Saccharomyces cerevisiae S288C: one gene and its partner. The protein of the gene in region 2 interacts with the protein of the main gene of each other region in a biochemical or structural test. Each region holds a gene or a part of one and is shown on either strand. Other genes may lie near its edges.

Region 1 (4,047 bases), on a different chromosome or scaffold from region 2:
AGAGCGCCCTTAAAAGGCCCATAAAGAGGGATGACAGGTATGAGCCATAAAGCTGCAAGCCTCTACGGAAAACGATACATCACAACCAAGGAAAGATAGACAGTTTATATTCATAGATAATAGGGGGAAAGACTTATGTTACTAAAGTGTGTTTGCAGAGCCGGCATAATATCTATCAAAGGAATCTTTCCTCGATGGTACTCCAATTCTCAAAAAGTGGCCAATTTGGGGCAAATAACAGATTATTTAGTGGTTAAAGGTGTTCCCAATTTGTTACAAAAAATGTTCAAGGAGTCAGTGTTGGCGGATAACGTTGTTTTTAGACTATTTCCAACATCGCATCCATATATTCCAGTGTTACATGGAAAATCAAAATACATGGCTTCTTTGAATGCAATGCGAATGATAGTACGAAAGTTTATCTTGGGCGATGAATGTCGCTTGCATATAAGTTCAGTAAAGACTCTAACATCGACATCGCATGATGAAGAAGTTAAATCTGCTCTTCAGAGTTATAATACCATAACATGTAATGACAAATTGGTGATCAAATGGCAAAGCTGCATACCGGAAGACCATTGCAAGATTACCAAATTAGAAATTAATGACAGATTGAAAGAGGAGAAACGAGGCAATGGTGCAGGCGGTTCATTTTCAATGAGGTCGGTACCAGTCATAGACTACATTTTACATCCTACAGCCAATAATTTGAACCAAAGTGTTATCTCTGAGTACCTTGAAAATGCAGCTGAAAGGTCAATGGAAAATAAGGTCAACGAAACTCAAAATTCCAAAGAAGATGAGAAGAAGAAAAATGATGGCGACGGTAAAAGAAGTAAAAAAAAGAGATTATCCCGGCTGATTAAGGGAACATTCATATTCGAATTTAACGAAGAAAATTCGAAAATTCTGGTTCATACCATTGAAGATGTTGAACTGATCCATTACGAGAAGAAAATTGCCACTCGCGGTGCATTTGCATGTTAATACGATATACAAGAATTAGATAGCATCTTTATTTGTAAATAATAAACACACCATCATAAACATCACCATCAACCTTGCACAGGAGAAAAAAGGAATAAAAAGGATAAATTGATTATGATTATTTTTTAAAAAAATGAATATGTAATATTATTTTATGTCGATTAGGTAGTATGTAATACTGAAATTATGCCAAAGTTCCTAACTAAAATTGGATAAGCAGGGGATAAAAAGTCAGATCAAGGAAAATGAGGCGAAACTTTCAAAAGGTCTTTTTTACTTCTTATTTTCCATCTTGAATTAGGCAAGGTTTCTCAAAATTTTTCAATTGGAACTTTGCTGGTACTGTTTCCGTGTTCACAGACCACTGTTCCCAAAACAGATCAATCTTATTTTGGTACGAGAAGCAGCTGTCCATCGAGCTATCTTTGTTCCATGCAGAATCAACTTCATTGATGAAATTCTCCATCGACCTCTCTTTAGCGTTCGATACCTTTAATAAGGTATCAACCATAATCTTGCACAAATGGAAGACATCATAAATGTCGGGTAGATCTTGCCATATGTACTGCCTCGTATGCTGCAGGCTAACGTGTAGGTCTTCTTCATCATTGTAACCACAGGAGAGCCTTGGTACTACGTATTTCCTGTAAATGAATGCAAATGGATCTTTTTCAAACTCATCGAAATTTTTTAGATGCTGAACCTTCTTTGATTTGGAGACTCTAAAAAGGCAATCGCCGAACATCAGATAAAATATGGTGGCACCCAATGACCAATAGTCAGCTTGGTATGTGTTATACAATGGAGCCGATGACCGATCGAAATTCTTCTTAAAACAAGAGTTACTAACGCGGCCAGAGAAAGTTTCTGGCGCCCTGTAATTATCGGTACCAATCTGGAAGTCGTTAGATTTAGGGGATTGGATAGCGTGACCCCAGTCTGCCAACTTGATGTCACCATTTATCGTTAGCAAAATATTTTCTGGTTTGATATCACGATGAGCAATACCCAAGCTGTGAGCAAAGCTGATTGCTGAGCACAGTTGTTTGATTATCTTTTGCATATCAATTTGAATCAAAGATGGAGACGACGGGCTACCTTGACTCTTAGCAATATCTAGAAAGTCATAAAGATCACCACATTCGCAGTATTCTAGCACCATGATGTAGTACGAGTCATCCGTGTAAAAGTCGAGCATCGAACAGATGTTGGGGTGAGGATTACAAGAACTCAAAATCTTCATTACATCATACTCGTTCTTCATGTTGGCTTCTGAAGTTTTGTATTTAGGAGTAATCTTTAAAGCGACGTAGCGGTTATGTGTAGTACTCCATGCTTTATAAACTGTGCTAAATGTTCCTGATTGTATAGATCTTAGTTTTGTATACATTTTTGCTTTTTATTATTCGGTATATGCTGATAATGATGTGCTTATTTAAATGATTGCGTATACGAGTGAGAATTTGATTCGGAGGGTATGAGAGTCGATCTTGAGTCCTATGTTATATGCTTTTTGTCAGTAACGGGTTATTTAATGCTAAGAATAGTTATTATAAAAGGGAAATTTTTTTGTATTAAGAATAGTCATCACTTACATGTGTATATTATATATATATATATATATGTATTGTACTCGTATTATTATTCTTTGGGGAAAGTATTAGTAGGTAGATGCAACTAAGCTCCGATTTTTCCAAAATTAAGTTGTCCCTTATTGCATGGTCCCCTTAATTATCCTTCCTTTATTGTATGTAACATGAAGCTGCATTTTTGTTCTCAGGCAGCATCATCGTTCCCTTCACCTAACCCTTCTAACTTCCTTTTACCTGTTGCAAGCTGTCTCATACCCGCGCTGAAAAGGCTGAGAACTGGGTATTGTCCCAATATTACGCTCGGCTTTTCTTTTCAAAAACTTTGTATTCCAGATACTTCCATGTGCAATTTCCCTAGTGCTCCCTGTACCAAGCCATCGGAGAGGAGATGCCTTCTAGAATTCAAAGCACGTAAGGGGTACAAAAATCGGAACGGGCCGAAGGCCGAAAAGAGACGGCCGTACGTGAGAGCACATGCAAAGTGGTGAACGGGACGTTACGGAGAATTACGGAACCTCTCAACAGAAGATGCGCCAATAGTCCTTCCGAACTAGCTCCACGGGAGGGGTATGAAGAGCAAGCTTGTTTACGCAGCCTCACCACCGCACCGAAAGACCCTCACGACAGAAATGGAGCGCCTTTAATGACGTTCGTCCGCTGCGGGCCAGAACAGCACAGTTTTGCTTCCCCGTTTCTTTTCCACTATTTCGTCACCCGCTCGAGGTGGCTCGCCCGCTCGGAGGCAAGCTGCACATTCATCGAACACGGAGAGGCACGGGCGAGAGAAAAAAAAGCCTATTGACCTAAACGGATGTCATAATGAAAAGAAGGAATCCGGTTTTCCTGGGCATGACTAAGGTAGCACGACTCAACTGGGCCAGATCGGTTGCTTCTTCCGATATACATGCATTAGATTAAGCCAAAGTAAAATCAAAAGAAAATTTAGCGGATATGAAAACCAATCTAATCTCCTCGTTTGCTTTCCGACCGCATGTAAGGTTCGGCTTTCTTGACTTCGGATATAGCTTAAAGTCGATTCTTGACGTCACTTCGCAATATCATTTCATTCCCATTAAACTGGCGTATGGACTTTGCGATCCTTTATTAATAGTTTATCCGGATCCCAGTTTTAGTTTGGCTCAAGCTGCAGGTGAAAAGAAAAAAGTCGTATTCCCTACGTATGAAGATGTTCCGAAACTACTGTTGACGTTTAAGCAGATTATGAATACGTATAGGAAGGGAAGTTTGGGACAGAGACAGAGACAGAGAGTGTACGGGCGAAATGGGAATGAATCACATTCTACGTAATTTGTCTTTGACTTTCTTAGAGATACGTATATAACTTTTTTTTCTGTGTGAAAAATAAATATTCTCTTATCCAATGTGGACAAGAGCCAAAAATACTCTGCTTTGTATATTTACTAGTTTTTTTGGCCTTTTTTTTCGCTAAACATATATATTAGTCTCG
Region 2 (4,747 bases):
GAACGAATATCAAGAAACTAGCGTTTCCAAAAGAAACCCACACAGGGATTTTTATAATGTTAGGAAAGTGGACACTCACGTTCACCATTCTGCTTGTATGAACCAAAAGCACTTATTACGTTTCATTAAACACAAATTGAGACATTCCAAAGATGAAAAGGTTATTTTCAGGGACGGGAAACTACTAACTTTAGACGAAGTATTCCGTTCTTTGCATTTGACTGGATATGATTTATCCATCGATACTTTAGATATGCATGCACATAAGGATACATTCCACAGATTCGATAAATTCAACTTAAAATATAACCCTATCGGTGAATCTCGTCTCAGAGAAATTTTTTTGAAGACAAACAACTACATCAAGGGTACCTACTTGGCTGACATTACCAAACAAGTCATATTCGATTTAGAGAATTCAAAATACCAAAACTGTGAGTATAGAATTTCTGTTTATGGCAGGTCTCTCGATGAATGGGATAAACTAGCTAGCTGGGTGATTGACAACAAAGTTATTTCCCATAATGTTCGTTGGTTAGTCCAAATTCCGAGGTTATATGATATTTACAAGAAAACTGGCATTGTTCAAAGCTTCCAGGACATCTGTAAGAATCTGTTTCAGCCACTATTTGAAGTGACCAAAAATCCTCAGTCTCATCCAAAATTGCATGTATTTTTACAGAGAGTAATTGGGTTTGATTCTGTCGATGATGAATCCAAGGTTGATCGCCGCTTTCATAGGAAATATCCCAAGCCATCACTCTGGGAGGCTCCTCAAAACCCTCCTTATTCCTATTACCTGTACTATTTGTATTCAAATGTCGCGTCTTTGAATCAATGGAGGGCTAAGAGAGGGTTTAACACTTTGGTTTTGAGACCACATTGTGGTGAAGCCGGTGACCCCGAGCATCTCGTTTCAGCATATCTATTGGCACATGGTATATCACATGGTATTTTATTGAGGAAAGTTCCATTTGTTCAATACTTATACTATTTAGATCAGGTTGGTATCGCAATGTCACCCCTTTCTAATAACGCATTATTTTTGACCTATGATAAAAACCCATTTCCGAGATACTTTAAAAGAGGTTTGAATGTCTCACTATCCACAGATGATCCTTTACAATTCTCATATACCAGAGAACCATTAATCGAAGAATACTCAGTTGCAGCACAAATTTATAAATTGTCTAATGTAGATATGTGTGAATTGGCAAGAAATTCCGTGTTGCAAAGTGGGTGGGAAGCACAAATCAAAAAACATTGGATAGGGAAAGATTTTGACAAGAGTGGTGTTGAAGGTAACGATGTGGTTAGAACAAATGTTCCTGATATTAGAATTAACTACAGATACGATACATTATCAACTGAACTGGAATTAGTTAATCATTTTGCCAATTTCAAGAGAACCATTGAAGAAAAGTGATGGTTATACGCGCACATGTATATAAGGAGAACTTTTGGCAGTTCGATACACTGACTTCACGGAGAACAAATAATACTAATCTGAAAAATAATCAAAGAATTTTTTTTATAATTTTATCGTTAGATATCTCTTATCTACACACCCCTCAATTGAATAGCGTCTACCAAAGCTCTTGAGAGACCATTTACGTCTTGGGGCTTGAAATCATCACTTAATTTATAGATCTAATAGGTAAAAACAAAATAAAAGGAAAACAAAGGTGAAGTTAGTACAATGTGTTTCTGGTGAGGCTGTTGAAGTTTTTACCTCGAATTTATTATTAAAACATACTTTTCTTATGAGCGCTTCGTCATAAAATCTCGATAAATTGTCATCATTAAACTCGATCTCTTGTCCTTTTACTATAGAAGTCATAATCGTCCTCAATTGCTCTTTGTCTACATCGTCAGTATTAGTATGGAACTTAAGGCATATTAACTGTGACGAATCGTCTTTGATTCCGAATTTGAGGAAAGCATCACTAATATTGGAAGTGGGTGAAAGACATAGTACGCACTCGGAATTCAAATTTCTTGTTCTCATCTTGTTATATTTCACTTCTATTAAGGTCTTGTAAATTGCAGAATACATCTGCTCCCCCGAACAGACTAACCGGGGGTCAATAAAGGCAAAGGATGTCGACAATTCACTCATTTTAGAGCGTATTTCTTTAGCATTTTTAACCTGTTCAAACAATGCTAGTGAAACCTTGATATCAGGAAATTGCGGTATGATGGATACTACCATGATGATTGTATAATGGGCAGCGACGACGTATATTTGGTTATATCGACAAATTTGTTGACCGATAAAAGATTGTTGATGTATATTTTGGTTTGCAATTGAAATTTTCGCGCAAAAGATTAAACATGAAATATTGAAATCAATGGTATTAATGATCAACGAATATTACAGATCATCAATTAAAGAAACAAGCATTGTCAGAATCTAAGCTGGTTATTTTTTGGGAAGGACAAATTATGGACGAAAACAAAATAATCGACCAGTTGTTCAGTAAGGAATACACACCGCAAGATGACTCCGAGCAAGCCAAAAATGGAGATGTGTCGTTATATGGGTTATTAGATGAAGTAGCGAACGGTAGGCGGTTGATGAACTGTTTGTTTCATTCACCTATGCAAATGGGGAATAAATTGAGTACCGACAAACTTGATGGGAAATGTCGGCAAATACAAAGAGATTGGATTGATGAGGAAAAAACCATAACTATGAATTCTGGCGCTTTACAGCTGGATGGGCCAGTTCTATTTTCCTGGAGTCATAATGTAGCACCTACTTCTCATCAAGAAACTATAAATACAACCTTCAAGCAGGGCTCTCCGAGCAGAGGAAGCAACAAGCCCAAAATTACTACTACCAGTCAGTTATTTGATAGAGCTTCTGCTGAGATTGATAAGTGTATAAAGCCCAATAGCAAAAGTTGGATGGTGGAAGAAAGATTTGAGAGAAATGAGGCACATACAGCTGATGGCAAGAAACCTTCTACGTGGGCTAATTCCGATTTCAAAGTGGACCCGCTACAGAAATTCGTTGTTAAGGAATTGCCCAAAGAAAAGAAGAAATCAGACGGTGATAAGACAAAGAAAAATAAGTCGAAAAGGAAGAGTTTTTTTGGATTTTGGGGCCATTCTGGTTCTAAATCAGGTTCAAAAAAGAAATCCGAAAAGCCTATAGAGGCCAAAAATGAAATTCAGGATGAGGTAAGCCAAAAATCTGGCCTATCACCTGACGATGATACAACTTTCAGTGATAAAAATACCATCCAATCAAAGCAAGAGAGTATGAGTGATCAACAAGCTGAACCCAAAGTACACGAGCCCGCAGTTACTAACACTGGATGCAGTGAACATGATGATGGTGATGGATTTGAACAGGTACCTGCACAATCTAGTTATCATCCATCCAGCGAGCCCAGCATTGCCAGCACTCCTTCATTAACTCTAGATTCATTCATCCCATTACAACCAAAGAAGAAAATATAATAGATGCTTGTAGGCTTCAACATCTATTAGAGTCATCGGCGACGAGACGCCAAAAAATAAAGCGCAAAATAATCACACCCATTTTTTTTGTCGAGAATGAGAAGGAGATGGCTTAGAACTGGAAATATAAGGGATAGTGGCATCACGAGAAGCTGTTGTTCTGTTTTTTTAAAGTGTCAATTGGCCTGATTATACTCATAACTGCATTTTCATCACTTCCACGATCACTTGAAGTTGTTACAGCGAGTGTTTATACCTTCAATTCTCGTGTCACATTTTGCTATGAATAGGACTGTCTTTTTGGCATTTGTATTTGGATGGTATTTCTGTTCAATAGCTCTCTCCATATACAATAGATGGATGTTCGATCCGAAGGACGGATTGGGTATTGGGTATCCCGTGTTGGTGACAACATTCCATCAGGCTACTTTATGGTTACTATCCGGCATATACATTAAGCTCAGGCATAAGCCAGTGAAAAACGTTTTAAGAAAGAATAATGGTTTTAACTGGAGTTTTTTTCTAAAATTTTTACTCCCTACGGCAGTCGCTTCTGCAGGTGATATCGGGCTCAGTAACGTTTCCTTCCAGTATGTTCCCTTGACAATTTATACAATTATCAAATCTTCGAGCATAGCTTTTGTCCTTTTATTCGGCTGTATCTTCAAGCTAGAAAAGTTTCATTGGAAGTTGGCACTTTCAGTAATAATTATGTTTGTTGGTGTAGCATTAATGGTTTTCAAACCAAGCGATTCCACCAGTACCAAAAACGACCAAGCCTTGGTCATTTTTGGCAGCTTTCTTGTCCTAGCAAGTAGCTGTCTTTCTGGGTTAAGGTGGGTTTATACGCAGTTGATGCTTAGGAACAACCCAATTCAAACTAACACCGCTGCAGCAGTAGAGGAATCTGATGGTGCCCTTTTCACGGAAAATGAAGATAATGTCGATAATGAACCTGTTGTTAACCTCGCCAATAACAAAATGCTGGAGAATTTTGGAGAATCCAAGCCTCACCCAATTCATACAATCCACCAGTTAGCTCCTATAATGGGCATTACTCTGTTGCTTACCTCGCTACTTGTGGAAAAACCATTTCCTGGTATATTCAGCTCTAGCATATTTAGGCTTGATACGAGCAATGGCGGTGTCGGCACGGAAACTACCGTCCTATCCATTGTGAGGGGTATTGTTTTGTTAATTTTACCTGGTTTTGCAGTCTTTTTGTTGACAATTTGTGAGTTTAGTATTTTGGAGCAAACGCCCGTGCTGACCGTATCTA

What was found.
Region 1: of the proteins of LFT1 (region 2) and FMP48, one has a biochemical effect on the other in vitro, tested with the Saccharomyces cerevisiae proteins (one large-scale study listed by BioGRID).

The regions. Positions count from the first base shown.
Region 1 is NC_001139.9:591,926-595,972, reverse strand, and holds FMP48 (protein kinase FMP48), read right to left. Parts: upstream 2,378-4,047; coding exon 1,268-2,377; downstream 1-1,267. Other genes in the region: MCO32 (Mco32p), read left to right, coding at 136-987; YGR050C (uncharacterized protein), read left to right, coding at 3,531-3,887.
Region 2 is NC_001145.3:203,107-207,853, reverse strand, and holds LFT1 (Lft1p), read left to right. Parts: upstream 1-2,445; coding exon 2,446-3,468; downstream 3,469-4,747. Other genes in the region: AMD1 (AMP deaminase), read left to right, coding at 1-1,426; CGI121 (Cgi121p), read right to left, coding at 1,561-1,650, 1,757-2,212; YMD8 (Ymd8p), read left to right, coding at 3,751-4,747.